7 linked regions of the Neurospora crassa OR74A genome follow. The protein of the gene in region 1 purifies or fractionates together with the protein of each later gene. This does not show direct contact. Links are inferred from orthologs where the notes say so. Each region holds a gene or a part of one and is shown in the gene's direction. Other genes may lie near its edges. The genes, in order: NCU06843, NCU09349, NCU02546, NCU01524, NCU03066, NCU09521 and NCU08663.

Region 1 (4,263 bases):
AGGAGGACAAGAAGGGCGGAATTATTCCCGGTCCTTCCTCCGGATCCGGCCCTGCAGCAAACGAGTCCAAGAACGGAGCCTCAACGAGCGGTAGCTTCAACGGCATCATGGGACAAAAGTCAGAAAGCAACTGATTACATCATCTGCCGTGTACCTCGAGCTTCTGCGCGAGAGACAAGACCCAGTGTATCTGCTTATAATACGGCAGAGGTAGGAGAACCCAAGATCCTGTCGATGTCATAATGGTTTTGCTTATGGATGGGAATGTACGTCGACTTGTTCGTTTTATGTGGTTTGAAAGAGTGGTCATCATTTCACACACATGGATGATGGAGACAGAAGGACCTGTGAAGCTCAAGATCTCATGGGTGCGAAATGCACTATTTTACCACGTTTTGACTGACCGGTAGGAGATGAGGAGGGAGAGGAAGGAGCGGATTCCGATGTACATACATTATTATGACTTGTGTTTGGAATAGAAGCGTGTGCATGTCATCTGTTGGAAAGTCGACAGCGAGAAGGGAATGGGAATATCCTCAAGAGGCGGAAATGAACTCGCTGCTTTGCCATAGAGGCCAGTTAGAGAACATGATTACGATTGTCGTTACACTCTTGGGATCGTAATTGCAACGTCGTGATCATTCCCGCACGGGATACGGTGTTATTGAAATGGCTGAACGGCGCCTCAGCCCGAAAAGTCAAGGAGATGACAGCTAAGTGTAGTGCTTTCGTGGTTATCCCTTGTAACCAGTACGCCTTTGACCATGCATGTCCGCCTAATCATGTAATCATGTTAAGCCAACCCACTTGTTTTACATCTACGACTGTTATAATGCCCTTGTCCACGAGCTCGACAAGCTAGAGGTATTGAGTCAAGAAGCAGATGGGGCATTTGACAATGTCGTCATGCTTCTGACAGGCAGCTGACAACCCCAATAGATGGAGATCTCGCTTTGATCCAAACAGCCCAACCTAGGCTATTGAAAGCCACAACAGCTTGCTCTCTTTGACACCGTGGGCGCGGACATCGAATTCGGAGAATCAGCCGTGTGATCAAGATGGAGTCAAGGGGGGGAACAACGAAGATTGGAGCTCAACATATTGTAACCGACCAGACCAAACAGAGCCGTTGCCACGCGCAGGCGCCGAAAAAATCCCATATCTCGTATTCCATCTGCGAACGTACCTACGGCGGCAGCGGCGACGATGACGGACTTATACGCAGAGCAATCAAAGTCACGTTTTCTGCCACCTCAACAGGACTTTACCTTGTCATCAATGTGCCATTAGTGAATGGCCCGCCAAGCTGACTAAGTGTACGGGGTCGCTCTTGTGGGGTGGATTGTTCTGGGCTTGGCTGGTCATCGCTGGTTGGCTGGGCGGGCTCGAGGAACAGGAAGGCGGACATGCCCGCCGGAAAGGGCTCGCGCAAAAGTTAGGGCTCCGCTGCACTTGAGGCCCGTGCACGGTCCAATCCACACCACTCACACAAAAATTTGGCTGGTCCAATTTCTCTGGCGATACTTCTTGATTTTGTTTTCGCGGTAGTGAACTTTTTCCCACTCGACCATCAACAACCCGGGTACTTGGGATCATCAGCAGTCATGTCTCACCGTAGTAAGTAACGCCTCATCGCCGTCGCTGTCGCCGCCAGACATACGGTCTTTGTCGATTTCTACACGCAATCCCGACTTCGAGAGAATCGATGGAGCAGCTTTCCCGAGAGACGGTCGTCGCGATATCGAAATTTTCGACTTTTTGGCGACTGGATTTTGGGGAGCATGCGTGATCACGACTTGGACCTCATGGCAACCTGAACGTCCTTCATGCTGACTCGATGCTTCAGAGTACGAGGCTCCCCGCCACGGTTCGCTGGCCTACCTTCCCCGCAAGCGCGCGGCCCGCCACAGGGGAAAGGTCAAGTCGTAAGTCAAGCTTATCTTCTGGTACCATCGACAACACTATCGCTAGTAGTTTGGATCTTTCGCGATCGGAACTTGGGCAATAGGGCATGCGAACAGAGAGGCTGACCAGTTGCGCGTTCATGACAGGTTCCCTAAGGATGATGCCAAGAAGCCCGTCCACCTTACCGCCGCCATGGGCTACAAGGCCGGCATGACCACCATCGTCCGCGACCTCGACCGCCCCGGCGCCAAGGCTCACAAGAAGGAGGTCGTTGAGGCTGTGACCATCATTGATACCCCTCCTGTACGTACAACGCAGCCCGCTTGGCTCTTTTTGTGTCAATGGCTAACATCTCTCGCAGATGATCGTTGTGGGTCTGGTCGGCGTAAGTCTTTGATCCTGTCCAGCTGCCGTATATGGCCTACCGCGACCGTGTGATCTAACCCCGATATTAGTACATCGAGACTCCCCGCGGTCTCCGCTCCCTCACCACCGTCTGGGCTGAGCACTTGTCCGACGAGGTCAAGCGCCGCTTCTACAAGAACTGGTACAAGTCCAAGAAGAAGGCCTTCACCAAGTACGTCAAGAAGCACTCCGACAACAACGGTGCCGCCATCACCCGCGAGCTCGAGCGCATCAAGAAGTACTGCACTGTCGTCCGTGTTCTTGCCCACACCCAGATCCGCAAGACTCCCCTCAAGCAGAAGAAGGCCCACCTTATGGAGATCCAGATCAACGGTGGCTCCGTCGCCGACAAGGTCGAGTTCGGCCACGGCCTCTTCGAGAAGCCCGTCTCGATCGACTCCATCTTCGAGAAGGACGAGGTTATCGACGTCATTGCCGTTACCAAGGGTCACGGTTTCACCGGTGTCACCGCTCGTTGGGGCACCAAGAAGCTTCCTCGCAAGACCCACAAGGGTCTCCGCAAGGTCGCCTGTATCGGTGCCTGGCATCCTTCCCACGTCCAGTGGACTGTTGCTCGCGCTGGTCAGGCCGGTTACCACCACCGTACCTCGGTCAACCACAAGATCTACCGCATTGGCAAGGGCGATGCTGAGGACTCTGCTGCCACCGAGGTCGATGTCACCAAGAAGAAGATCACCCCGTATGTATCCCCGTCTGTCTTGAAGAAGTTGAAGAGCGCAAAACTAACCCTGTTCCAGCATGGGTGGCTTCGTCCGCTATGGCGAGATCAACAACGACTTCGTCATGGTCAAGGGCTCCGTTCCCGGTGTCAAGAAGAGAGTCATGACTCTCCGCAAGTCCATGTTCGTCCACACCTCCCGCAAGGCCCTCGAGAAGGTCGAGCTCAAGTGGATCGACACCTCCTCGGAGTTCGGTCATGGTGCTTTCCAGACCCCTGCCGAGAAGAAGCAGTTCCAGGGTACCCTCAAGAAGGACCTCGCTGCCAGCTCGTAAATTGGCTGCTGCAGTTGATCTCCTTGTTAGTCGGGTTGCATTGGTGTCACGGTTTTTTCGTTGCTCTTTCGGGTCGGTCGGGAAATGGGACTATACCTAGCATTTACGGCTTAATAAAAAGCTGTTGAAGAACAATGAAACGTTGATCCAGTGTACTGCCAAAGAGAGTGTCCTTCAGCAAAATGTGTTTTATGTGATGTGAACACGTGAAGAATCTGGTGGTTGGCACAGATTCGATGGACACTGTTGTTTATAACTTCGTATGTTTTATTCCAGGACTTTTGTCTTGGGCTGCTATGCCCCCACTAGTGTAGGGTAATGACTTGAAGGGACCAGTGGCATATAGATATACCCAATTTGATAGTCTTGAATGTAGCATGTCGTGTGATTCTCGTTGCCTGTTCTGCTGCGCTGGACGTGTTCGATTTATCAACTGTTCATGAGCTTCCACCTGTCATTCACTACCCGTCTCTATGCTTTCTCTTCCTGATATTGTTCATCTGCGATACCACGACTGATAATGATATCACTTTTCGACCATCTTCTCATATTCCTAGTCGTGCTTTTGGGAGTCCTCACGGCGTACATGGCTGTTGTTACTTGTTGAGGGCATATCAAACCCCGATCGACCTTGCAAGCAGCCCATCTCCTGATTGGTTGACGCTTCCACTCTTAGGCCAACGTGAGATCCGCCATTCCTAATTGGTTTCAGCTACTGCAGGTTACATCATCGGACGTTCGTTCGCATCCCACCACGCAGCCCACCCACCTGACTGATCATTGTCATCGTCGTCCCGCCCAACGAAACGTTCTCAACCTAAACACAACAACATAATGGTTTGAACTTCCCTAACCCTGACCCAGATCTGTTCTAGTTGCTTCTTCCATCCTCAACACAAACTCTTTGTCGACAATCCGCAAAGCTAATTACCCGGCTCT
Region 2 (4,004 bases), about 2.4 Mb from region 1:
CCAGCCCGATCGGCTTGAGCCGTGTCTACGCCTCCTGGGGCACCACTTGGCAGCAGAAAGACGGGGAAGTGAGATACAGAGTGTATCGAGATTTAACATAAACGTGGTTTCGATTCAAGAACCAGAAGTTCTTGTCCGATTTTATTTTATGGGATGCCTTCTGGATTGTTTCCGTGATGTCTGTCCGTGGTGTTGAGCGAGTGGTGTTGAAGAATAGGGCCATGGGACCAGATTATATCATGAACATCAACTTCCGTGCTGATACCTCCCATTGGAACCATTCTCAGCCTCAGATCGTGGAAAGATGCGACCCAAGGCAGCAGTGAGCCAAAGACCGAACCACACTTGTGACTCGGTCAACTCCATGGAAAATGATCATGTTTTCATGTAATAAAGGTGTTGTTACTTCCGACGTGACCAAGATAGCATCCCGTCAGCCTTGAGAGAATATGAAGGATTCCGAAGGGGTTCATGAAACTTCACTTCAGCCAATGTAATGATGCGAGGATATTGATCTGCCATGTGTACTGTTATGTATCGACCCAGGGGCCTCTCGGCGAGTGACACTTCCAACCCAGGGACCTGGATTCGAAGCTGACTGGTACGTTCCAATCTTGCGCCCTGTATCCCGCAGACGGGGTAAGTTTCCAGCTGCCCCGAATTATCGATTATCGATCAAGGCAACCCGTAGCCTGACTATGGACTTGTGTCAAGGCCTTCGAAGTCGTCCGCTGGACGGGAACTGCAAAGTCCACCAGGCTATTGACTGGTCTGTCTCAATCCACTAAACCTTTGGAATAGAAATGTAACATAAGAAGAATACTGCAATGCCAGGATCTCAGAGGTACTGTACAGCGTTTGAATATCCGCAGTGTAAAGCAATGCCACCATGGACGACATCCAGAGCCTAATTCCGTGAGAGGGACAACGAACATGAAAGACCGACTACACGCGGTTACGTTGAGTATATCATGTCTATGACAGACTGGAGTAATTGCAGGAGAGGTGAAAGCGTTGTGATAATAAACGAATATCAGAGAAGAAAACAACATAATGCGGATTTGAAGATAAGAGGAAATGGACAAGTTCAGTTCTCGACTCTCGCAAGCAATTGGGGGCACAATTGGCGGGTTCCGGGGTTCGGCTGATCTGCAGTCAAAAGTGGGGTCAACACTGGGACGGCTGTAGCGCACAGACCAGGTTTTCATCAGGAGAAGAGGGCAGAATTGGCAAAATTTTCACCGCCTGGTGTAATCCCTGGTTATCGAACAAGCGATAAGAAAAAAATCCCCAGCGAAAGAGAAGGCAGAGGAAGGATAACAGATTCGACTCGCTGGGAATTTGAACGGAACCATTGCGACGCCCTTTTCCCAGAGTATCGCAACCACCCACCGACAGTACCAACCCCCCCACGCCATCACGATGGCTTCCGAATTTAGCAAGAAGCGCAAGCTCAAGGACGCCAAGATTGCGACCGAAGATGGCGCCGCCACCGACAAGAAGACCAAGAAGGTGAAGAAGGACAAGAAGGAGAAGAAGGCCGCCGAAGAGGTCGTCGAGGACGCCACCCCCGAGGAGGAGAACGATGCCCAAAAGGCGGAGGAACAACAAGATGGCGACGAGGTCATCCCCACCGGCAACGGGGACAAGGAGGACAGCGACGACAAGGACGCTGAGGCCGGCGACGAACTCACAAAGACCAACGACTCCCTCATCGCCCCGTCCATCGCGACCAATGCCACCGACTTCTCCGAGCTCAACCTGTCCGACAAGACCATGAAGGCCATTGCCGAAATGGGCTTCACCAAGATGACCGAGATCCAGAGGAGAGGTATCCCGCCTCTGCTCGCCGGCAAGGACGTCCTCGGTGCGGCCAAGACCGGTTCCGGCAAGACCCTCGCCTTCCTCATTCCCGCTATCGAGATGCTCAGCTCCCTGCGCTTCAAGCCGAGAAACGGTACCGGTGCCATTGTCGTCACTCCTACCCGCGAATTGGCTCTCCAGATCTTCGGCGTCGCCCGCGAGCTCATGAAGAACCACTCCCAAACATACGGTGTCGTCATCGGCGGTGCCAACCGTCGTGCTGAGGCCGAGAAGCTGGGCAAGGGCGTCAACCTGCTCATTGCTACTCCCGGTCGTCTGCTCGATCACCTGCAAAACACTCCCTTTGTGTTCAAGAACATGCGATCGCTCATCATCGACGAGGCCGACCGTATTCTCGAGATTGGTTTCGAGGACGAAATGCGCCAGATCATCAAGATCCTGCCCAAGGAGGACCGTCAGACCATGCTCTTCTCCGCCACACAAACCACCAAGGTTGAGGATCTCGCCCGTATCTCGCTCCGTCCCGGTCCTCTTTACGTCAACGTCGATGAGGAGAAGCAGTTCAGCACGGTCGAGGGTCTGGACCAAGGCTACGTTGTCGTCGACGCCGACAAGCGCTTCCTGCTCCTCTTCTCTTTCCTCAAGAAGATGCAGAAGAAGAAGGTCATTGTCTTCTTCTCGTCCTGCAACTCGGTCAAGTACTACTCCGAACTTCTCCAGTACATCGATCTTCAGGTTCTCGATCTCCACGGCAAGCAGAAGCAGCAGAAGCGCACAAACACCTTTTTCGAATTCTGCAACGCCAAGCAGGGCACCCTCATCTGCACGGACGTTGCCGCCCGTGGTCTCGACATCCCCGCCGTTGATTGGATCGTCCAGTTCGATCCTCCTGATGACCCGCGCGACTACATTCACCGCGTCGGTCGTACCGCCCGTGGTAACAACACCAAGGGCCGTTCGCTGCTCTTCCTCCAGCCCAACGAGTTGGGTTTCCTCGCCCATCTCAAGGCCGCCAAGGTCCCCGTTGTGGAATACGACTTCCCCAAGAGCAAGATCCTCAACGTTCAGTCCCAGCTGGAGAAGCTGATCGGCCAGAACTACTACCTTAACCAGAGCGCCAAGGACGGTTACAGGTCGTATCTCCACGCCTATGCTTCGCACAGTTTGCGGTCGGTGTTTGATATCCATAAGCTTGACTTGGTTAAGGTGGCCAAGGTATGTTTTCTCTTCTCTCCCTTTTTCTTCCCCAACACCAGAACAGTCACTAACGTACTACAAAAACAGTCCTTCGGCTTCTCCACCCCTCCCAGGGTAGACATCACCCTGGCCTCCAGCATGTCGCGTGACAAGAAGCAGACGAGCAGGAGAGCGTATGGTAGCCAGCCGAAGCAGAACCGTCACTAAGCGAGGCGGGATTCGGTGTTCGTGTTGTTGTTGTTGTTGGTTAGAATACGAAAAGGGGATGATGATTTGTCAATGTTCTCTCTTAGATATCCATCGGGCATTCGGTGTGGAGCATAGTGGGTGTTTTCTTTTGTGTTGCTACTTTGCTGTTTACTTGTTGTTGTTTGCGCAAGCTGCCAAGGCGTTTTTGGTTGAAAAGTAAAACTGGAGGGCTTCAAATCAACAATTAATTTTTACTTTACGTTGCTGCTCCGTTGGTGTGGTATTTCTGATGCTGTGCCGTTCGGTCATCTCGGGTGTCTTTCCATGTGAGGATGGAACATATTATCATGCTGACAGTTTCATTTGATAAATGGTAAGAAAGACCTTGAACAAACCACATCATATCTATTTTGCTACGCAATTGGAAAGATCGTGATGTTGATATGGCTGATGGAAAGCATGGAGGTCCTGAGTGTCACTCTCTATCAAGGATCCTTTGTAGGGATTCATAATCAATACCCAAATTAGGTAGCTGACAACCGGTACCAACTCAACACTAACCTCCAACAACAAAGCATGAAACAACCCACTGATGACAGTCTACTATTTCAGAACGACCTACATCGATACCTATTCTATCTGCAGCCCCAATCGACCCCCCGAACCTGAACTACATAACAGACGGAAACTCCCCGACACAAACCAACCTAACAACTTTACCAAATTTCACCTCGTCCCCAATATCCTCCCCTTCCCCTTTCCCAATATCCTCTCCTTTCCCTTCCCATCACTTC
Region 3 (3,989 bases), on another chromosome or scaffold:
TGCTAATGGGGTTCTTCTGCGAATCCCAAATGCTGCGGCCGCTTTCCCAGAGACCGGCGTTGTGGATCTTCTCGGTGAAGTGTTTGTTGACGTGCTCCTCCAGCTCCTTCTCGTCCACGATGAAGTTCTTGGACGCCACGTACAGCTGGACGACGGCGTCCCGGCGCGCCTCGCTCTTCATCGCCTCCTTCTCTGCATGTTTAATACGCGCCTCCTCGGCCTTGACGAAAGCCTCTGGGTCCAGGGGTACGAATGTGTTCTTGGCCGTGCTCTCGCGAATCGTCGCGCGCGTGAACACCTCGTCCAGACGCTCCGGCGCCTGGGCCGCCCGCTTGTTCGCCAAGTAGCGCGCCTTGCTCTCCTTCGCCTGCTTCTGGTCGCGCTTCACCTTGCGCTGCCAGAGTCCCTGCAGACCGGCCTCGAGTGACTGGCGCCGGGCCTCGGCCATCTTGCGACGCCACGACTCTTGTTTCGACTTGGGCGGCAGACCAGCCAGCTCGGCGGCGGACTTGGGAGCGATACGATTGACATAGCCGGATTGGACCTTCTCCGGGACGCCCTTCTTTGGGAAAATGGAGCGGGGGATCGGGAGGTGGCCCTTGACGAAAGGGTGCCTAACCTCGGAAGACTGCGGCGGCTCGGGGACCTTGATGTAGTTGGGCGAATCGGGGGGGATGGAGACCGAGTCTCTAGCCGATCGGGTGGTGCTGAAAGATCGGGCGGCGATGGCGCGTGTTACTACGCTGGTGGCAGCGCATGTTGTGGTCGGGGAAGAAAGGATAAATTGCACGCCGCTGAGCGACGGCCTGGCAAGAGTTGGCGCCATTTTTGAGGTGGAGGGTTGGCTGAAGACGGGGTGAGCGGGATGGGGTCGGAGTTGGGAGACTTCTGGCCGGGCCGTGCTATGCGGAGGTTTCGTGCGACGGAGGGAACGGACCAGGCGGGTGCAGCGGCCTCTCGCTCTCCTAGGTAGGTAGGTTCGGCTCGGGATCGTGGGACACGCCGCGGTACGAGGGGGCTTTCAACTCCGTCGAAATTCTGAAAGCTCGGGGAGGCCAGAACGGCGCTAGAGTGCTCTTGGTGCTACTAGCTTTGCTGGTCGCGGGCGTTCTGCCGTCGTACACCGCTAAACTTTTTGTGCATGGGGACCTTTGCGCGGCCTCCACACCCCGCCCAAAAAAAAAACTGACAAAACTTTCGCCGGGACCAGTCGCAGAGTTGCATTTCCTCCTTCTCATTCCTTCCTCGCTTCCCTCTCTTCTTTTCTTCTTCCCCAGTCCATTCATCCTCTCGATTCTCACGCAACACCCTCTGCCGATATCTGATACCCCATAGCCTCGTTTCTAGCCTTTTACCCATTCTTCCCTATTTTCGTGTGCTTCTTCTTTCAAGTCAATCTCAAACCCCCCGATCTACGGATACCCCCAGCCGCTCTCGCAGGCGAGAACGAAATTCTTCCACATCTGCATCCTCTACCCACCAACCTACTCGGTAATCTGGCATTGAGTGATATCTGCCAAAATGGGAACAGGAAAGAAGGAAAAGTCTCGCATTCAGCGACAGGGCAAGGTGACGGGTGATCCAAAGGTCAAGGGCGAGAACTTCTACCGGAGCGCAAAGAAGATCAAGGCCTTGAACGTGCTGAAGGAGGGAAAGGCCATTCGCAACAAGGAGGGCAAGGTCGTCAAGGCCGCGTCGTATCAGAGCAGAGATGTTCCCACAGCCGTCATCGAGCCGAACCGGAGATGGTTCAACAACACCAGAGTCATTTCGCAAGATACGTTGACATCTTTCCGGGAGGCGATTGCCGAGAAGGACAAGGATCCTTACTGTACGTTCAACTCTTCCGTCACTTGTCCGGCCGACCAAGACTAACGCACCTTGTCTTGTAGCGGTGCTGTTGAAAAGCAACAAGCTCCCCATGAGCTTGATCAGAGATGGACCCAAGGATGCGTTGAAGAAGCACCAAGCCAAGATGACGATTGAGAGCGAGCCGTTTTCACAGACCTTTGGCCCCAAGGCCCAAAGGAAGAGGCCAAAACTCAGCTTCAACACGATCGGTGACTTGACAGAACACAGCGAGAAGAGCATGGATACATACCAGGCCAGACTCGAGGAGATCAAGCTTCTAAGTGGTGCTTCTGGATATGGCGGTGGTCTTGCCGATGACGATGTTCAAGAGGAGGATTTCAGTGTCGCGACGGCCAAGGAGGCTATCTTCACAAAGGGCCAGTCGAAGCGTATTTGGAACGAACTGTGTAAGTCCTTCTGTGTTTGGGGACTTGTGACTTCGGGTTGCTAACCATCACATAGACAAGGTCATTGATTCGTCAGATGTCATCCTGCACGTTATCGATGCCAGAGATCCTCTGGGAACCAGGTGTCGTCACGTTGAGAAATACCTTGCCACTGAGGCTCCTCACAAGCATCTTATTTTCGTGCTGAACAAGATCGATCTTGTTCCTTCCAAGACTGCTGTAAGTGTAGACCATTATTTGCTTTCACTCCTTCTGCTTGAATCTCTTGACTTGCCTCGCGCAAATCCTGAGGTTCCCAGGGATTTTGTCAGGATCTTTCCCGCATTCAGTTGCGCTTCATTGGGATTGGTCTGTTACATCGCTGGGAGATTAATATCCACCTCCCAACCTCTCTGGTCCCGTCTTGGGATTGGGGATTTGATGGACTCCGTTTTGGAGGACTTCACGGGATACCGGACGTGTTTCGTTTGAGTTGAATTCCACCCTGCCTTTGAGCAGACTCTACCATGGTGGTCTTCTTAGTTATGATTCACACATTTCTTCACATTATACATATATGTTATATTCAGTAACGAGTTGAGGACTAACTGAAAACAATAGGCCGCGTGGATTCGCGTTCTGCAGAAGGATCATCCTACATGTGCTATGAGATCTAGCATCAAGAACCCCTTCGGTCGTGGTTCTTTGATCGATCTTCTCAGACAGTTCAGTATCCTGCACAAGGACAGGAAACAGATCAGCGTCGGTCTTGTTGGCTACCCCAACGTCGGCAAGTCGAGTATCATCAATGCCCTTCGTGGGAAGCCCGTTGCTAAGGTCGCCCCTATTCCCGGAGAGACCAAGGTCTGGCAGTACGTCACCTTGATGAGGAGGATCTACCTCATCGACTGCCCTGGCATTGTTCCTCCCAACCAGAACGATACGCCACAGGATCTCCTGCTCCGTGGTGTTGTACGTGTGGAAAACGTCGATAACCCGGAGCAATACATCCCTGCGGTATTGAACAAGGTCAAACCTCACCACATGGAGAGGACATATGAGCTCAAGGGCTGGAAGGACCATATTCATTTCCTTGAGATGCTTGCTAGGAAGGGCGGCAGACTTCTCAAGGGTGGTGAGCCTGACGTTGATGGCGTTGCGAAGATGGTTCTCAATGACTTCATGCGAGGCAAGATTCCTTGGTTCACGCCTGCCCCCGAAAAGGAGGAGGGTGAGACTGATACCATGGAGGGTCGCGAAGGACGCTACGGTGAAATGTCCAAGAAGCGGAAACGTGACGAGGACGACAGCGCGCCTGCTACCACTCCCGCTTCAGCAGGAGAGGATGCCAAGGAGGAAGACCCTGAGAACTTTGCCGGGTTCGACAGTGACAGCGACTCTGAGGTCGAAGAGGCTGCTGAGGAGAAGGGTGAGGAGAAGAGCACTGCTGAAGATATGATACCCCTGGACGCGTCGAGCGATGAGGAAGAGGATGGCGAGGAGGAGGGCTCTGACGTCGAAGATGACGAGGAAGGATCCGACCTCGACATCGAAGGAGCCAGCGAACTCGAAGAGTCTGAGTCAGAAGCCGAGGCTGCGCCAGCACCTCCCCCGAAGAAGCAAAGGAGGAGCAGGAAGTAAACTCGGTCAGTGAACGCGATGGGCGGCTGGGGTGAACCGAGCATGCGTTCAATAGCCGACCTCAGGGTTGGTAACGATCCAATCGGATCATGACGGCCGGTGTCACTGATA
Region 4 (3,674 bases), about 1.4 Mb from region 1:
AAAGCCGTATCGCCAGGATGACTGACAGAGAGAACTGCAGAGGAAAACCACCTATCCTTTATCGAGACTTCGGCTCTCGACGCCACAAACGTCGAGCTTGCGTTCCAAAACATTTTGACTGGTAACGTTTGCCCAAAGCCTACAGCTGCTGCTCTGGCGCGAGCCTACCGCTAACATGCGATCATTTATCTAGAAATCTACAAGATCGTGTCGACCAAGAACTTCGACAACGGCCCCAGCGGGTCCAACGAGGGCCACCAAAACCTGTCTGGCCAGAGCATCTCGCTCAGTCAGACCGCGAACGACCCCCAGGCGAAGTCTGGCTGCTGTTAGGAGGTGCTTGATTCTCCGGGCCGGGAACCGAGTGGCCCTGAAGGGTTGAGGTGCAGGGTGCAGCAGAGTACAACAGGGTGCCGAACCAACAACGGCGTCACATATGTCTGACATGAAGCAATGGAGGCTTATGATGAGCAATGAAGAGCAGCATCGGGGGAAAAGTACGGACGGATCCTGCCCAGTCTTATTACATCACGGTCGCCGATGGGATGGTCTGTTTTTCTTTTTCTCTCTATTTTTTTGGGCTTTTGGGGAGGGGGGAAAGGATCATGATGCTCGTCTTCCAGCCTTTCCTTTTTGTTGTTATTACTACTACTACCCCTTTCTTCCCTTTTCCCCCCGTGCTGGTCGTTGGAATTTTCCTCAATGTGGTTAACGAAGCCATCACTTGCGCATGGATTACGAAAGATATTATTTAGTTGAAATGAACTATGGGCGATAAACAGCCCTTAACTCAACCTGGTACATATTGCTCCACGTTGTCAAGGTCTCCATCTATTGCATCCACAATGTGGGAGAAGAGGAGTACCTCGAGAGTGAGTACCTATGTAGCGATAATCGTGCAGGATCTCGTTATGACATTCAAGTTGATTATGTGCGACAGCGGGAAACAGTCAATACAAATTAAGACATCTGGGCTTGCCTGATGGATTATGGCGACTGTCCCTCATTACTCCCATCGCGTCACCCGAGGCGGTTGAAGTGGGTTTGAGTGCGGACAAGAGGCCAGTCCCGTCCCATCCCCCACTGTAGGGCAGACAAGAAGAACGCGTGGAACTTGGACAGTGTGTGTAGGCAATGGAATCCCCAGAACTTGGGGGTCCGGATTCCAGGTTGGGTCCATCAGTGGGACAAATGCGGGTTGCCCAGACCGCCGACCGCCTTTCAGCTGTTCCAAGCAGGGGGGCCGGAACAGGGACGCTAGTAAGATAAGAGAAGCTTATCGGAGTGGGGCTGCGATTGGCCGGCGAACTTTTTTTGAGATGGAACAGCCTGCACTCCATCACTGCGCTTCGCCCGCGACGTTCGTGGATTGGAGCATTGAATTCACCTTTGCAATCCGCATTCCGTTTTTCTGCCATCACTTCCACCACAACCACCACCAACTTCAGTCACCCTTGTTTTTCGCCCGATTTTGATACCCAAAGAACGACAAGAACAAAAAGAAAATGGCCGCCGTTTACAAGTCGCTCTCGAAGAGCGCCAAGAAGGTCGAGGACACGGAGAACGACAACAACACCACCACCACCAATGGCGGCTTTCGGAAGAACAAGCAGAGAGTTCTGATTCTCTCGTCCAGAGGCGTTACCTACAGGTACATATAGACCCTGCATACCTGCAAGATGGAAGAAGAAAGGGTCAATTGCTAACCGCCTTTGCGCCCCGAGTACAGACACAGACATCTCCTCAACGATCTCGCAGCGATGCTCCCCCACGGCCGCAAAGACGTCAAGTTCGATTCCAAGTCCAAGCTGTACCAACTGAACGAGCTTGCCGAGCTCTACAACTGCAACAACGTCATGTTCTTCGAGGCGCGCAAGGGCAAGGATCTGTACATGTGGTTTAGCAAGGTTCCTAACGGCCCTACGGTCAAGTTCCACGCCCAAAACTGTGAGCACTATCCATATCCGAGATACGCATTGTGAAAGAGGAAAAATCGGGTTCTAACAAAAAGCACAGTGCACACCATGGAAGAGCTTCACTTCACGGGTAACTGCCTCAAGGGCTCGAGGCCACTCCTCTCCTTCGACCTCGCCTTCGAGCAAGAGCCGCACTACCGCGTCATCAAGGAGGTGTTTCTGCAAATGTTTGGCGTCCCCCAGGGCGCGCGCAAGTCAAAACCGTTTATCGACCACGTCATGAGCTTCAGCATTGCCGACGGCAAGATCTGGGTACGCAACTACGAGATCCGAGAAGTGGAGAAGGCCAAGGGCGAGAAGGACAGCGAAGGAAACGACATTGTCCCCGAGAGCGACAAGTCATCATCGAAAAAGAGAAAGGGCGCGCCCAACGCGGAGCTCAAGGACACAGACGTCAGTCTGGTTGAGATCGGACCTCGGTTCGTCCTAACGCCCATCATCATACAGGAGGGCGCGTTCGGCGGCCCCATTATTTACGAGAACAAGCGCTTTATCTCCCCCAACCAGGTGCGCTCGGAGCTGCGCAAGGCCAAGGCGACCAGGCACAACACCAGGGTGGAGCAGGTCAAGGAGAGGCTCGGCAAGCTCGAGACCCTCACGGCCCAGGCGAAGAAGGAGAAGGATGTCTTGGATACCCGGGAGCTCTTTGCTTAGAGAAAGGAGGAGGAGGGGAAAGAGAGAGAGAGAGCTTTTCACAACACGATTTCATCACGTCTGTTCGCTTGCGACACATCAAAGCAACGCACGCCTTAGGTTTAGGGGTAATCAAGGAGTTTTTTGTACTTTTGCTGGCTGGCTGGTTTGGTCTGGTTCGGGAAAAAGAAAGGAAATCGATTTGCATTGTACAACATTACAGTATTCGTGGGGATGTGTGAGACGGACGAGCTGTCCTCTTTTGACAGTTGGGAAAGAGGATCATGATCGAGTGGTAGATGAGCACTCAGCGTATAAGGTGCTGGCTCGAAAACGGACACATCAGATCAAGATTGAGTGATGAACGCCGTCCTGGCTCCGGTCTTGGTCGTGTTGAAAGGAGATGGTCAAAGAAGGGTAGGAGAGCAAGTACTTTGCTCGGCACCTCACTAGCGGTTGACTGTCTATAACCACACTCCTGAGGGAGATGTTGTTCGCATAGGACCTAGACTCTACCTTAAATGCAGTTGCGCTGTGAGATATTGTCTCACATTTTTGCTCCATGATTTGGGTTGTTTCCATATATATAAGAGACACGAGGTGTCTCTTTCGTTGAGTTGTTGGGATGATATCACCACCTTCAGTACACTCCTCAAGGAGAAGAAGAAGAAAAAGTACCATGTTTTGTCCCAAGGTAGCTTTGGGCGACATCGTCCCAAATTTCAGATTTTCTGACGGACTAGCCATCTTCTCAGGGGCTTTGGGTCGTCTAAGTCATGTAGTGTGCCTGGGAGTTGGCGCGAGTTTGGTGCTTCTTGAAAACAAGAGATAAGGACTGGAGCCGATACCTAGGACGTCGCTCCTTAAAGCGAAAGACAAATGGCTTGAGTCTAATGTTGAACACGTATGGCTAACGCTTTTGATCAAAATTTAGAAGCAAAAAAAACGACTCGGAGTACTTTGGTCATGACTCAGGTTCACTCATCGATATCGGAGGAGAGAGTTGAGGATAGGTTGTAGAGGGTTCACTTCACTCATTGTGAAAGTTCGCTACAGGGGACCTGT
Region 5 (3,871 bases), on another chromosome or scaffold:
AGACGCCTTGGCAAGTATGAGCAGGCAAAAGACCTGCTCGAGCAAGCAATGGCCATGTCGGCATCAAGTGAGCTGCGCATCGAAGCCAGTGGCGAGCTTGGTGTTATCTATCAGCACATGGACCTGATGGATGATGCAAAGCGTGTGCTTCGGGTTCAGTATGAAACAGCAAAGGAGTTTTAGGCGGAGCACTTCGCGTGCCGGTCGATCGGAAACCTCGATACGGTCAACTAGCAACTGTCCCAGCAGCGTTAGGATGAGTCGTTGTTGTAATTAGCGATAAATTAGCTCCTTGAACGCGTTGAAAGGGCCCATCAGATCAAGGATACAATTGACTCGCAAGTCCTGGATGCATTTACAAGAGAACAGCGATTGAAGGGTGCGATAACTTGGGAAACAATCGGTCTCTTCCGTCTTTCTCTACGCTAAATGGGGGATACCTACGGAAGAGTTTCTGAAGATACTCCCTCATGTGAAGCGTGATAAGCGTGGTTTCTGGGTGATATGTTACCTCCCCACCACAACCCCCTTTCTTGATGCGTATTCGATGCTAGCATGCTATTTTGCTTCAGGACTTTGTCTACGTAGGCCAAGATGACCCAATGTCCGGAGTGTCTGCTCTGCCGATAATCATTGCATAGTGCAATGCCATTGTCAGCTTAAGCGACGATCAATTATGCGAGCGGGGCACGGTGTTCTGTTGAATCCATGATGATCCAAAAACTCAAAAAAAGCGTACAGCGTCCATGTGTGGTATAAACAAGTGCTTGACGACAGAACTGATGGCATCCAGAACTGCACCTTGACGGACGGTTCGATGGATTTGAGGATCGTCATGGCAGACAAGTGTTTGATTGTTGAGACGGACCGACCTAAAGTCCTCTTTCTGGAAAGGCAATGCAAACCACTTGCGTAAAGAGTCGGTAGCAATAATTCTTCATATACATATAGAGAACAAGCGCAACCACACCATAAGTGTATCAATATAATTTACATTCCACGTTTGGCTAAACACAAATCAAACATACAATACGACTGTAAATTACAGGCACGCGCATCTCCACATTCGAAGCGGGGACTTCTGGAATCTTGGTGGAGTTCAACACGGCGGATCCCTGCTTTATCAGAGCTTATCTAGGCGGTCAGCAGTGGCACAAACCGTTCCTCCACTCTAATTTTTTGACGACCATCAATCAGTACAGCCGCCCATAGTAGCGACCGGATTTTGCTGCTTTACCTTGCTGTCCCATCCTCAATTATCCTCCTGTACCTCCTTTTTTGACATTAGGAGCAGCATATCTTCAAAATGGCCGGATCGATAACAAAGCCCAAAAGTCAGTCAATCTTTCGCTGAGAACAACATATTCTTCCAATCAACACATTGACTGACGTTACTTAAAAACAGAGCCGAAATCGAAGCGTACACCCGTACGCCTCAGGCACAAGATCCAGAAGGCCTCGGCCGCGAAGCAACGCAAGGACAGAAAGCTCGCCAAGAAGAACCCAGAATGGCGCTCCAAGCTCAAGAAGGACCCGGGTATCCCGAACCTTTTCCCCTACAAGGAGAAGCTGTTGAACCAGATCGAGGAGGACCGCATTCGGAGAAAGGAACAGGAGCAGAAGCGTCGTGAGATGGCCAAGGCGGCCAAGACTGGCCAGGACACCAAGACGGGCGCCGAGGGCGATGTCGAGGCGTTCGATGACGATCTGATGGACGACGACGATGCTATGGAGGAGGATGGTAGCGACGTTGACGATGAGTCGAACCCCCTCGCTGCCCTGGTGGCCAGCGCCAGGAAAGCTGCCGAGCAGTACGACCGCGAGCTCCAGAGCGGCGACGAGATGGACGATGACGACGAGTCCGACGACGAGACCGATGGCGAACCCACACAGTCCGGCGTTATTGAGGTTCCCGGCGGCGCCTCCTCGCGCAAGGCTTTCGACAAGGTCTTCAAGCAGGTTGTTGAGCAGGCTGATGTCATTCTTTACGTCCTCGACGCCCGTGATCCCGAAGGCACCCGCTCGAGGGACGTCGAGCGCGCCGTCATGGCCGCCGCCCACGGTGGTAAGCGCCTGATCCTCATCCTCAACAAGGTCGATCTGATCCCTCCCCCGGTCCTCCGCGGCTGGCTCACCCACCTGCGCCGCTACTTCCCCACGCTGCCGCTGCGTGCCTCCAACCCTGCCCCCAACGCCCACACCTTCCAGCACCGCGACATTACCGTCCAAAGCACCAGCGCGGCTCTCTTCCGTGCGCTCAAGTCGTACGCCGTCTCGCGCAACCTCAAGCGCTCCATCCAGGTTGGCGTAATCGGCTACCCTAACGTCGGCAAGTCGTCCGTCATCAACGCCCTCCTGTCCCGCCTCAGCAACAGCCGCGGCCAGCACAACGCCTGCCCGGCCGGCGCCGAGGCCGGCGTCACCACCTCGATCCGCCAGGTCAAGATCGACAGCAAGCTGACGCTGCTCGACTCGCCCGGTATCGTGTTCCCTTCCACTGCCGGCAACTCGACCTTCACCCCCAAGAACCAGACCGAGGCGCACGCCCACCTGGTGCTCCTTAATGCCATCCCGCCCAAGCAGATCGAGGACCCGGTCCCCGCCGTGACGCTGCTGCTCAAGCGCCTGTCGGCCACCCCCGAGTTGATGGACAAGATGATGAAGGTGTACGACCTTCCCCCCTTGCTGCGCGACCCCAACAACGGCGACCCCACCATGGACTTCCTTGTCCAGGTTGCCCGCAAGCGCGGCAGGCTGGGCAGGGGCGGTATCCCCAATATCCAAGCCGCTGCCATGACTGTCGTGACCGACTGGCGCGACGGTCGTATCCAGGGCTGGATCGATGCTCCCGTCTTGGCTGTGGCTGGTACCGCCACTGCTCCTGCTCCTGCTGGCGGCAAGTCTGCTACCGCTGATGAGCCCCTAGCGGATCAGAAGGTGATCGTGACCGAGTGGGCCAAGGAGTTCAAGCTGGATGGTCTTTGGGGAGATGAGGAGGAGACGGCGACTCCGGATGTTGAGATGCAGTAGAGCGATTTATTCCCCCTATCTTTGTCTGTTGGCAGTTGTTGTTGAGCATTTCACTTTTTGGTTTCTTTTTTGTTTTCGGTTGCGTCGGTGGTCAATGTCGTAATGAGTATTTTGTTGTTTTGCATGTCAGAAACACAATACAACGAACCCCGGAGCTGGACACATCTTTGTGAAGAGGCGTTTTGGCGTCAAGGTGGGAAAGAGCAAAAAGGGAGACAGGCAGGCCGGCTGGTAGAAAATAGGTCAAATATAGCCTGATCATAAACACCTCTATGACAAAGGCTTTTGAAGTGAAGCTTTAAATTCTTTCTGACATTCCCTGCATCGTTCATCATACCGAGCTGTGTTTTCAATGGCCTATTATCGAATTCGAAAGCAACGACATTCCGAAAATGACTTCATGAACGTTTGGATAGCCGAAAGTAAAAAAACAATGTATTGCTCTACAAAAGTCCATCAAGGGTATTCTTAACCTGTACCCCTTCTCAAATACTGAAGCATCCATCTTCAACAAATCTAATAAGTACTAACAAGCTCCATCTTCACCCCCCTCTTCCCCGTCGTCTCATCCTTCTGATCCGTCACCCTCACCCTGACCTTCTGGAACAACTCCACCTTAACCTCCCTGCTTCCCGATGTGGTCAGCGTGTACGTCTCGGCATCATACGTCGCCGCCGGCTCCGGCTCCGCCAGGTCACGCAGACGGATCAAGCTCTCGATACCGAACTTCGGCACGAGCACAACAAAGCCATTGCTAAAGATCTTCATGACGAAGCCGTCCTCCTCCGTAGCCTTGCCGCGCAGGGCCTGGCCGACATAATAAGCAATGCTGGCACGGCCG
Region 6 (4,096 bases), on another chromosome or scaffold:
TCTTTTTCGGATCGGACGCGGATTCGTGGCATAACGAGACCGGTTGCGCCGGCATCAATGGCATAGCGTAGGCAAGTCAGCATGTAGTTGCGGATATTGCCGATGCCGCCGGAGTTGTTGTCGCAAACGAAGACCAGGCCGGGGGTCCAGCTGGTCTCGCTGCAGACTCTCTCGAGCGGCCAGCCAACGAAGGGGGCATCGGGAAGGGAGAGATCGAGATGGCGTTGGAGAACGGGACCTCGTGTTATGTCGGTGTTTAGCTGGGGAAGTCGACACAGCCAGACGGTGACGAGACTGGTGATGGCCATGAGGGCGAGGACGCCACGTGAACGTGCCATGCTGAGGACCATGTTGGGGTGCTATGGTTCGACGACTGGCCCTAGAATGACTGACATTGGCAAGACGGGACTGTCGAGCTGTTGTTGGAACGGGGTCGATCACGACTGGACCGTTGTGCGCGTCGGGACGCCGGAGTACACTACCTCAGGTGGCCGGCAAGTGGACTCGGGCAAGCCGAAGATCATTTTCGGACATGACGGAGGCGCAGCTCCGCTTGTACTGTGTATCATGTTGGGACTCGTAATCAGGCAATGCCCTTACTCGTAAGCTGTATCGCATCTCGGATTGACTGAGAACGGAAAAGAAAGTCGGGATTTTGCTTTCCGGTTGGGGTTCAGCGTCGGGCAGGCATCAAGTGGGATCGATTTGTTGGACGAAAAGGTTAGGTCCATCTTTCGTGGGATGGCAGACTTCCAGTTTACACACGTGTAGTTGACTCGACTTCACTTCCGTCGTTCAGTTCAGTTCAAATGCAGTCCAGTGAGTACCTACAGTCCAGTACTAGTTTCTTTGTTAGCTCGAGACCTCGTGTTAACTTTCCTATGCGTCTTCATAGCTAAGTAACGCCTGTTATTACTTTGGAAACGCCATTCCTAATATTCAATATGCTATATCAATTCCTGCTAATGCCTTTATATTTCGTACTCACCCATTCTAATTTATCCTAATAAGCTTCAGTTTTAAGACTATTCGGGATTGATTTCGCCTAGTATGCACCACCAGACCTAAGTACCTACCTAGTGTACCAAGCTAACAATCAAACCAGCATTGGACTGTAGATGGAGGTAACAACTAAGTGCGGTTGCTGAGCCACATCCCCTGCAGTGCCAGGAGTGCGTAGTGCAGGTAAGTAAGCCACAAATGGCCTGGACTAGAGCAGTGGACCCGACAGAACTTGAAGCCACTCACGCGGGGTAGCTGTGGAGATTTGGAAGCTTGGCAACCCGGCTGTCCCACAGCTCCACTAAAAAGTTCAAAAATTTGGAAGTGGAATTTGCGGGACCGAGTTCGGTTCAGTTGACATTGGATTGGGAAGTCCGCTGCCCTCCCGTCGTGTCTGATACTGTAGCGGCTGCCGAGTTCCATCTGTCAACAACAAACACGCAACAGTGCTGTCTGCCTCTTGCCGCCGTAGCCAATCCTGCAAACAACCCTTCATCATACATTGTACCGACATCACACACACCACACAAAATGTCCAAGAGAGCCGCCGAAGACGAGAGCCTTGCTGCTCCCCTCAAGGGCGGCGACCGCCCCGAGGCCATGGATGTCGATAAGGACCACGACATGGGCGAGTTCGAGGACGACTTTGAGGACGAGTTCGAGAGTGAAGACGAGATCATCGAGGCCGGTGTTGATGGCCGCCCAGATGCCGAGAGAGAGGCTGAGGAGGGTACGACCACCCATGTTCATCCTCTCGTGACTACATTGTACTGACCCTAGTCGCAACAAACAGGCGCCATGGACGTCGATGGCGGCCCCGAGACCTTCATGGTTGGCCGTCAACAGCTCGAGGCCGGCCAGACCCTCACGCCCGATACCACGACATACAAGATGCTTCACAGCTTGAGCACTCCCTGGCCCTGCCTTTCCTTCGACATCATCCGCGACGGCCTCGGCGAGAACCGCAATGTCTACCCTGCCACCATGTACACGGTCGCCGGTACCCAGGCCGATGGCGCCCAGGCCAACGACAACTCCCTTCTCGTCATGAAGTTCAGTGGCCTCAGCAAGATGCAGGGCGAGGATGGCGAGGACTCGGACGACGAGGACTCGGATGATGAGGACACCGACCCCATTCTCGAGCACAAGAGCATTCCCCTCAACACCACTACCAACAGGATACGCTCCCACCAGTCCCCTGCCCAGGATCCCTCGAGGCCCCCCACCACCCTAACCGCCACCATGACCGAGTCCTCCCAGGTGCTCATCCACGACATCACCCCCCATCTCGCCTCCTTCGATACCCCCGGCATGATTGTCACTCCCCAACAGAACAAGCCCGTCTGCACCATCCGCGCCCACAAGACAGAGGGTTACGGTGTAGACTGGTCGCCTCTCCACCCCGCCGGCAAGCTGCTTACCGGTGACAACGACGGTCTGATCTATGTCACCACTCGCACTGATGGCGGCGGTTTCGTCACTGACACTCGTCCCTTCCGCGGCCACACCGGCAGTGTCGAGGAGATCCAGTGGAGTCCTTCCGAGGCCAACGTCTTCGCCTCTGCTTCCAGCGATGGTACCGTCCGTGTCTGGGATGTCCGCAGCAAGAGCCGCTCGCCCGCTCTCACCATGAAGATCAGCAACTACGACGTCAACGTCATGTCATGGTGCCGCCAGACCAGCCACCTGCTTGCTACCGGTGCCGACGATGGTGAGTGGGCTGTTTGGGATCTCCGTCAATGGAGCAGCAACCCTTCGGCCAAGCCCGCGCCTCTGGCAAACTTCAACTTCCACCACGAGCAAATCACCAGCATCGAGTGGCACCCTACAGACGACAGTATCGTGGCCGTTGCTGCTGGCGACAACACCGTCACTCTCTGGGATTTGGCTGTCGAGCTGGATGACGAGGAGAGCAGAGATACCGCCGGTGTCTCGGACGTCCCTCCCCAGCTCCTGTTCGTCCACTACCAGAACATGGTCAAGGAGCTCCACTGGCACCCTCAAATACCCGGCGCCCTTGTCGCCACCGGCGAGCAGTTCAGCGTCTTCCGTACCATCAGCGTATAAACAACAGCAGAATAGGATATCAAGTTTGGGAAACAATACAAAGGTGTTCAGGATTCGGAATCGGTTGGCTTGTGCGGGAGGTCTAGACCAACAATGCATCAAAAGTTACTTTTCCATCTGCTTATCGAGATACCCATTGACCAGCAACCAAGTTGCCAACTCCACGGAACTTGACAACTCCGCGGATTCCACACATTTTCCGTGCTCTACTGTGTTGCACCAGCCGACCACAAAGTTTTACCACCGTTGACGCCCCTATCCGTCGTATCCGATGGTTGCCATCAACACCAAAGTTAGGTTGATATCGGAACCGGCCTAAATCTCCGGTGATGAGCAAGCCTCCAGTCGACTCCACCTCCTATGACGTGTGTCTTACGCATTACCACAGACCGGGTATAGCAACTGTCGGACATGCCATCTCGACACAGAATGCTTAGGAGGAGGTTTGCGACAGTGACGACCGCGCGGGCATCACGTCTATTGCCTCAGATACTCGTCATTGGGGGGGCGTCTACCGACAGCTCCACGTCTTCTGCGCGAATGTTCATCCAGGTCTGCATACCTCAAAGAATATGGCCTGGAGAGTGGAGGCGCGCTACGCCGTTTTCGGTTGCCCTGCCTTGTTACTGTGATCTCTCAATCTTTCTGCTGTTGCCGTTAGCTGACCGATCTTGGTTGGGTATGTTGCAAACCTGGTAGCTTTTACAGGCGTTATCCGGGCTTTGGACGGGAACAACGGATCACAGCCATCTCAAGTGCTGTCTATAGCTAAGACTATCCTTGCAGCAAGGGAAGGAGGAAAGCAAGAAAAAAAAAAGAAAAAAAAAAAAAAAAAACGTCAAACGGATGAAACGCTCCGGTGAAATTGTGTGTGTGTGTGTGTGCTGGGAGGTCAATCGATATCACCATCTCACAAGTACGCCATGCCCGCGCCCCAATGTTTAGGTCAGAGTTTTCTCTCATGGTCATGACTCAAACTAATCTCTACTGGAAGGTATCTTGGTAAGATGGTCCTTCATTTTACTGT
Region 7 (3,949 bases), on another chromosome or scaffold:
GCCGATATCAAATTCTCACCTGAAGAAGAGGCTGCAAGTACCCACGACCAAAAGCAACAACAACAAAGACCCTCTTGATGCCCAAACCTCTGTGACTGACCGCCTCAGCAGGAATTGGTAGCTGAGTCCAACACACACAAAGCAGAGGCAAACGCCCTCTTCACCTCGGGCAAATACGATGCCGCCCTCAACAAATATGACGAAGCCATTGCTGTTTGTCCAAACTACCTGGACTACCCCTTGGCCGTCTTGCGCTCCAACGTGGCCGCCTGTCACCTCATGCTGGAAGCTTGGAAGGATGCCATCACGCACGCAACCAAAGCTCTGGACTTGCTTGACAAGCTAGAGCGGGAGGACAAGCTGGCTGCCGAGAAGGAAGAGAAGGAGAAGGAAGATGTCGAAGAGGAGATTGTCAGCGCTGGTGCAGCAAAGGCCGGACCCGCCGTTCCTGTCACGGAAACTGAAGCGCAGATTGCCCGCCAAAAGCGACTAGAGGATATTGCCAGGATACGGGCCAAAGCTCTGCTACGCCGGGCCCGGGCAAGGAGCGAGCTGGGTGGATGGTCCACCCTCGAGGGGGCTATCGAGGATTACAAGAAGCTATCTGCCATGACCAACCTTACGGCTACCGACCGAAAGCTCGTCCAGGCGCAACTCAGAGCACTGCCGCCCCGGGCCAAGGCTGCTCAGGAGAAGGAGACTGCTGAAATGTGGGGCAAGTTGAAGGACCTTGGGAATGGGTTGCTTAAGCCGTTTGGTCTTAGCACTGACCATTTCAAGATGGTGAAGGATGAGAAGACCGGTGGTTACAGCATGAATTTCCAGGGAGGTGGTGGCGAAGGCAAAAAGTAATGTTGTGAAAGTTAATGAGGGTCAGGGCTCTTGCGATGCCTACCAGCGTCGTGGTTGAGGATGAATGGCTTCTTGATAGTCCAGTCACCCAGCCATATGCACCTCTGACTGGGAAAGCTGATTTTCCAGTCACCTGAAAATATTATCGACCAGTAGTCAACACGAATCGACAGTTCAATGTCAACAGATCGACAAGGGGGGGAGATGATCAGGAGCTCGTACCCGACAGCTGCAATACAGCTGGCCGGAGCTAAAGCTCCATAAGTTTTGAGGCTGATTTATTGGTGTGGCAAAGCCGGCAGTAGAACGCCACAATTGTACGTACTGCTGCACTGGCTTGTGCTAATACCTCTAAGTACCCACGGTAGCCGATAGCCGATAACGAATTGCTTATCAATGCAGCGCGGGGCGATTTGGTGCTGGGCCCATCAAGAAATTTATTGACGACCGTCCCGTCAGCGCCTCCAACGTTCCCCCCCAGCGACTCGTTCTCGTCCTGGTCCATTCAAATTTCCAGTCGTCAACTTCTTTCTCATCCGCAGCAACTTCACTTGTGATTGCGACGGAACTCCCAGGTTTTCCTTTTCACGACATAGCGACTTTTGTTTGTTTTTACAATTGATACCCCGATTCATATCTTGTCGCAAACCACAACTTCATTAATCATGGATCTCGACGCTCCTATGGCCATGGCCCCGTTGATGGGCTCTGCCAGGACAGGTGCTACGTGAGTTTTGACCATGAAGACTGAAGGTTATCGAAGGCATGATTGCTGACACCACCAATAGCATTCTCTGCTGCAACTGCGGCGCTCCCATCGATGGCACATCCTCCGCCGGCGCTCTTTGCTACGACTGCATCAAGTCCACCGTCGATATCTCCCAGGGCATCCAGCGCGAGGCCACCCTCCACTTCTGCAAAGATTGCGACAGATGGCTCCTACCCCCCGCCAGCTGGGTCACAGCCGCCCCCGAATCGAGAGAGTTGTTGTCGCTATGCTTGAAGAAACTGAGGAATTTGGGCAAGGTCCGCATCACAGACGCCAGGTTCATTTGGACAGAACCCCATTCGCGAAGAGTCAAGGTTCAGGTTACGGTTCAGGATCAGGTGGCGGATGGTGTGTTGATGCAGCAAAGCTTCGAGGTCACTTACGTCGTCGCCAGCCAGCAGTGCAAGGACTGCGCCAAGTCATACACAGCCAACGTCTGGCGCGCCGCCGTACAGGTCCGCCAAAAGGTCACCCACAAGAGGACGTTCCTTTTCCTCGAACAGCTCATTCTCAGGCACCAGGCCCATCGCGACACAATCAACATCAAGGAAGAGAAGGACGGTATCGATTTCTACTTTGCCCAGAAGAACCAGGCCGAGGGATTCATCAGCTTCCTGAAGTCCGTCGTACCAGTTCTCACCAAGGAGTCGAGGCATCTTATTTCCGCGGATACACACACCGGCAACAAGTCGTACAAGTACAACTACTCCGTCGAAATCGTGCCTGTTTGCAGAGACGATTTGGTTGCCCTTCCTCTCAAACTCGCCAAGTCCATTGGCAACATTTCTCCCCTTGTCCTTTGCCACAGGATAGGAACATCTGTCAACCTTCTCGACCCCAACACCCTCCAGACCGCCGAAGTCAGCGCCGATATCTACTGGCGTGCTCCCTTCCATCCGCTTGCCGGCACTCCCGATCTTGTTGAGTTTATCGTTATGGACATCGAGTCCACAGGCGTACGAAAAGGAAAGTGGCTTCTCTCCGAGGTCCAGGTCGCTCGTGCCTCCGATCTCGGCGTGAACGACAACGTCTACTTCACTCGCACACATCTCGGCCAGCATCTCCACGCCGGTGACTCGGTGCTGGGTTACATGCTCGAGGGTACCAACTTCAACTCGGACGCGCTCGAGGCGATTGAGAGCTCCAAGGCGTACGGTTCCATGATCCCTGACGTTGTTCTCGTCAAGAAGCACTACCCGAACCGCCGCCGCAACAGAAAGAGAAACTGGAAGCTCAAGCGCATGGCCAAGGACGAGGGCGAGCTGCTGCCCAAGGCTTCGGACCAGGCCAAGATGGATGCCGAGTACGAGATGTTCTTGCGCGATGTCGAGGAGGACGAGGAGCTTCGTGCTGCTCTTGCTCTGTACAAGAACTCGCTCAAGACCAAGAGGGAGGCGGATGCCATGAGCATTGCCGATACCGACATGATGACGGAGGCTGAGGAGGATGGCCCCAAGATCAGCATGGACGAGCTCCTCGATGACTTTGAGGAAATGGAGATTCAGGATAAGGAGTAGGATGTGATCTTGATTGGAGTCTGATATGTGGATGTGAATGGCTTTGGGATTCGGGGTAAATCAAAATTCTGGGAGTTAGCTGTTCTTCAGGGTTTGCGTTTTTAAGGCATTTCATGAATAGATTCGGGAATGGGCTTGCCGTGTTGGCGCCCTCTGCATCCAACATTCTGTTGTCTTTATAGTTGTGAATGCATAGACGTGGTTGAAAGGATGCTACGACCGTCAAAGTACTAAATCAACGAAGATGTGCAACTTGTCATGTACGATGATCTTGGTCAGTCAAGGCCTAGTGTTACACATCTGCTCAAAATGTTTTCCATCCGTCTGTTTTATCTTGTCGCCTTCGGTCATCATCAATTATGAAAACAGGTTTATTTCGAGTCCGGACAAAGGTTCCAAAGCATACAACCCCAGAAAAAGGAAAACATATCACAAAATGCGCGGGGTTTCACAACGATGCAGAGGGGGCCAAGGAACAACTTTGAAACGAAGAGAAAAGATGGAAAAAATAAAACGAAAAAAAGAGAACCAGAAGGTTGATCGTTATCGCTCGGATACCGGGAGTCGAACCCGGGGCTGTTGAGAAAACAGACACTTGTAAACAAGTGAGAGTCAACGATGTTACCGCTACACCATACCCGATGAAGGATGGCTTCCGATTGTTTTATGCTTTTGTCACCAGAGGATGTGTTCTTGAACCGGAAAAGCACGAATTGTTCATGAATTGTGTGGTGGAGTTGAGGGTTGGGTGTGACATGGGTCAGGGGTTCAGTAGTAGGTGGGCTAAAGGCAAAAAGGGAAAAGGGGGTTT

Evidence for each region.
Region 2: the proteins of NCU06843 (region 1) and NCU09349 purify together in Saccharomyces cerevisiae (affinity purification with mass spectrometry; 3 studies listed by BioGRID). This does not show direct contact. The link is inferred for Neurospora crassa OR74A from reciprocal best matches to the Saccharomyces cerevisiae genes RPL3 and HAS1.
Region 3: the proteins of NCU06843 (region 1) and NCU02546 purify together in Saccharomyces cerevisiae (affinity purification with mass spectrometry; 6 studies listed by BioGRID, with this or other methods). This does not show direct contact. The link is inferred for Neurospora crassa OR74A from reciprocal best matches to the Saccharomyces cerevisiae genes RPL3 and NOG2.
Region 4: the proteins of NCU06843 (region 1) and NCU01524 purify together in Saccharomyces cerevisiae (affinity purification with mass spectrometry; 3 studies listed by BioGRID, with this or other methods). This does not show direct contact. The link is inferred for Neurospora crassa OR74A from reciprocal best matches to the Saccharomyces cerevisiae genes RPL3 and BRX1.
Region 5: the proteins of NCU06843 (region 1) and NCU03066 purify together in Saccharomyces cerevisiae (affinity purification with mass spectrometry; 6 studies listed by BioGRID, with this or other methods). This does not show direct contact. The link is inferred for Neurospora crassa OR74A from reciprocal best matches to the Saccharomyces cerevisiae genes RPL3 and NUG1.
Region 6: the proteins of NCU06843 (region 1) and NCU09521 purify together in Saccharomyces cerevisiae (affinity purification with mass spectrometry; 3 studies listed by BioGRID, with this or other methods). This does not show direct contact. The link is inferred for Neurospora crassa OR74A from reciprocal best matches to the Saccharomyces cerevisiae genes RPL3 and RRB1.
Region 7: the proteins of NCU06843 (region 1) and NCU08663 purify together in Saccharomyces cerevisiae (affinity purification with mass spectrometry; 3 studies listed by BioGRID, with this or other methods). This does not show direct contact. The link is inferred for Neurospora crassa OR74A from reciprocal best matches to the Saccharomyces cerevisiae genes RPL3 and NMD3.

What each region holds. Positions count from the first base shown.
Region 1 is NC_026502.1:1,783,778-1,788,040, reverse strand, and holds NCU06843 (60S ribosomal protein L3), read left to right. Parts: upstream 1-1,475; 5' UTR 1,476-1,604; coding exon 1,605-1,617; intron 1,618-1,846; coding exon 1,847-1,925; intron 1,926-2,051; coding exon 2,052-2,208; intron 2,209-2,266; coding exon 2,267-2,290; intron 2,291-2,360; coding exon 2,361-3,010; intron 3,011-3,068; coding exon 3,069-3,324; 3' UTR 3,325-3,763; downstream 3,764-4,263. Other genes in the region: RCM-1, read left to right, coding at 1-134; NCU06844 (hypothetical protein), read left to right, coding at 4,159-4,161. UniProt on the Saccharomyces cerevisiae protein: Component of the ribosome, a large ribonucleoprotein complex responsible for the synthesis of proteins in the cell.
Region 2 is NC_026502.1:4,196,605-4,200,608, forward strand, and holds NCU09349 (ATP-dependent RNA helicase has-1), read left to right. Parts: upstream 1-1,279; 5' UTR 1,280-1,422; coding exon 1,423-3,039; intron 3,040-3,108; coding exon 3,109-3,228; 3' UTR 3,229-3,504; downstream 3,505-4,004. UniProt on the Saccharomyces cerevisiae protein: ATP-dependent RNA helicase involved in 40S ribosomal subunit biogenesis. Required for the processing and cleavage of 35S pre-rRNA at sites A0, A1, and A2, leading to mature 18S rRNA.
Region 3 is NC_026501.1:2,685,297-2,689,285, forward strand, and holds the start of NCU02546 (nucleolar GTP-binding protein 2), read left to right. Parts: upstream 1-1,189; 5' UTR 1,190-1,521; coding exon 1,522-1,831; intron 1,832-1,892; coding exon 1,893-2,258; intron 2,259-2,313; coding exon 2,314-2,477; intron 2,478-2,858; coding exon 2,859-3,878; 3' UTR 3,879-3,989. Other genes in the region: NCU02545 (hypothetical protein), read right to left, coding at 1-826. UniProt on the Saccharomyces cerevisiae protein: GTPase that associates with pre-60S ribosomal subunits in the nucleolus and is required for their nuclear export and maturation.
Region 4 is NC_026502.1:3,192,924-3,196,597, reverse strand, and holds NCU01524 (ribosome biogenesis protein BRX1), read left to right. Parts: upstream 1-1,354; 5' UTR 1,355-1,505; coding exon 1,506-1,651; intron 1,652-1,729; coding exon 1,730-1,947; intron 1,948-2,016; coding exon 2,017-2,630; 3' UTR 2,631-3,174; downstream 3,175-3,674. Other genes in the region: NCU01523 (GTP-binding protein ypt3), read left to right, coding at 41-121, 194-333. UniProt on the Saccharomyces cerevisiae protein: Required for biogenesis of the 60S ribosomal subunit.
Region 5 is NC_026501.1:4,414,055-4,417,925, reverse strand, and holds NCU03066 (GTP-binding protein), read left to right. Parts: upstream 1-1,201; 5' UTR 1,202-1,306; coding exon 1,307-1,334; intron 1,335-1,405; coding exon 1,406-3,030; 3' UTR 3,031-3,371; downstream 3,372-3,871. Other genes in the region: NCU03067 (hypothetical protein), read left to right, coding at 1-183; NCU03065 (mitotic control protein dis3), read right to left, coding at 3,547-3,871. UniProt on the Saccharomyces cerevisiae protein: GTPase required for 60S ribosomal subunit export to the cytoplasm.
Region 6 is NC_026503.1:18,619-22,714, forward strand, and holds NCU09521 (ribosome biogenesis protein), read left to right. Parts: upstream 1-1,296; 5' UTR 1,297-1,533; coding exon 1,534-1,732; intron 1,733-1,795; coding exon 1,796-3,069; 3' UTR 3,070-3,878; downstream 3,879-4,096. Other genes in the region: NCU09522 (hypothetical protein), read right to left, coding at 1-359, 483-524.
Region 7 is NC_026504.1:4,180,517-4,184,465, forward strand, and holds NCU08663 (60S ribosomal export protein NMD3), read left to right. Parts: upstream 1-1,250; 5' UTR 1,251-1,517; coding exon 1,518-1,579; intron 1,580-1,640; coding exon 1,641-3,138; 3' UTR 3,139-3,449; downstream 3,450-3,949. Other genes in the region: NCU08664 (tetratricopeptide repeat protein 1), read left to right, coding at 1-33, 112-852. UniProt on the Saccharomyces cerevisiae protein: Acts as an adapter for the XPO1/CRM1-mediated export of the 60S ribosomal subunit. Unlikely to play a significant role in nonsense-mediated mRNA decay (NMD).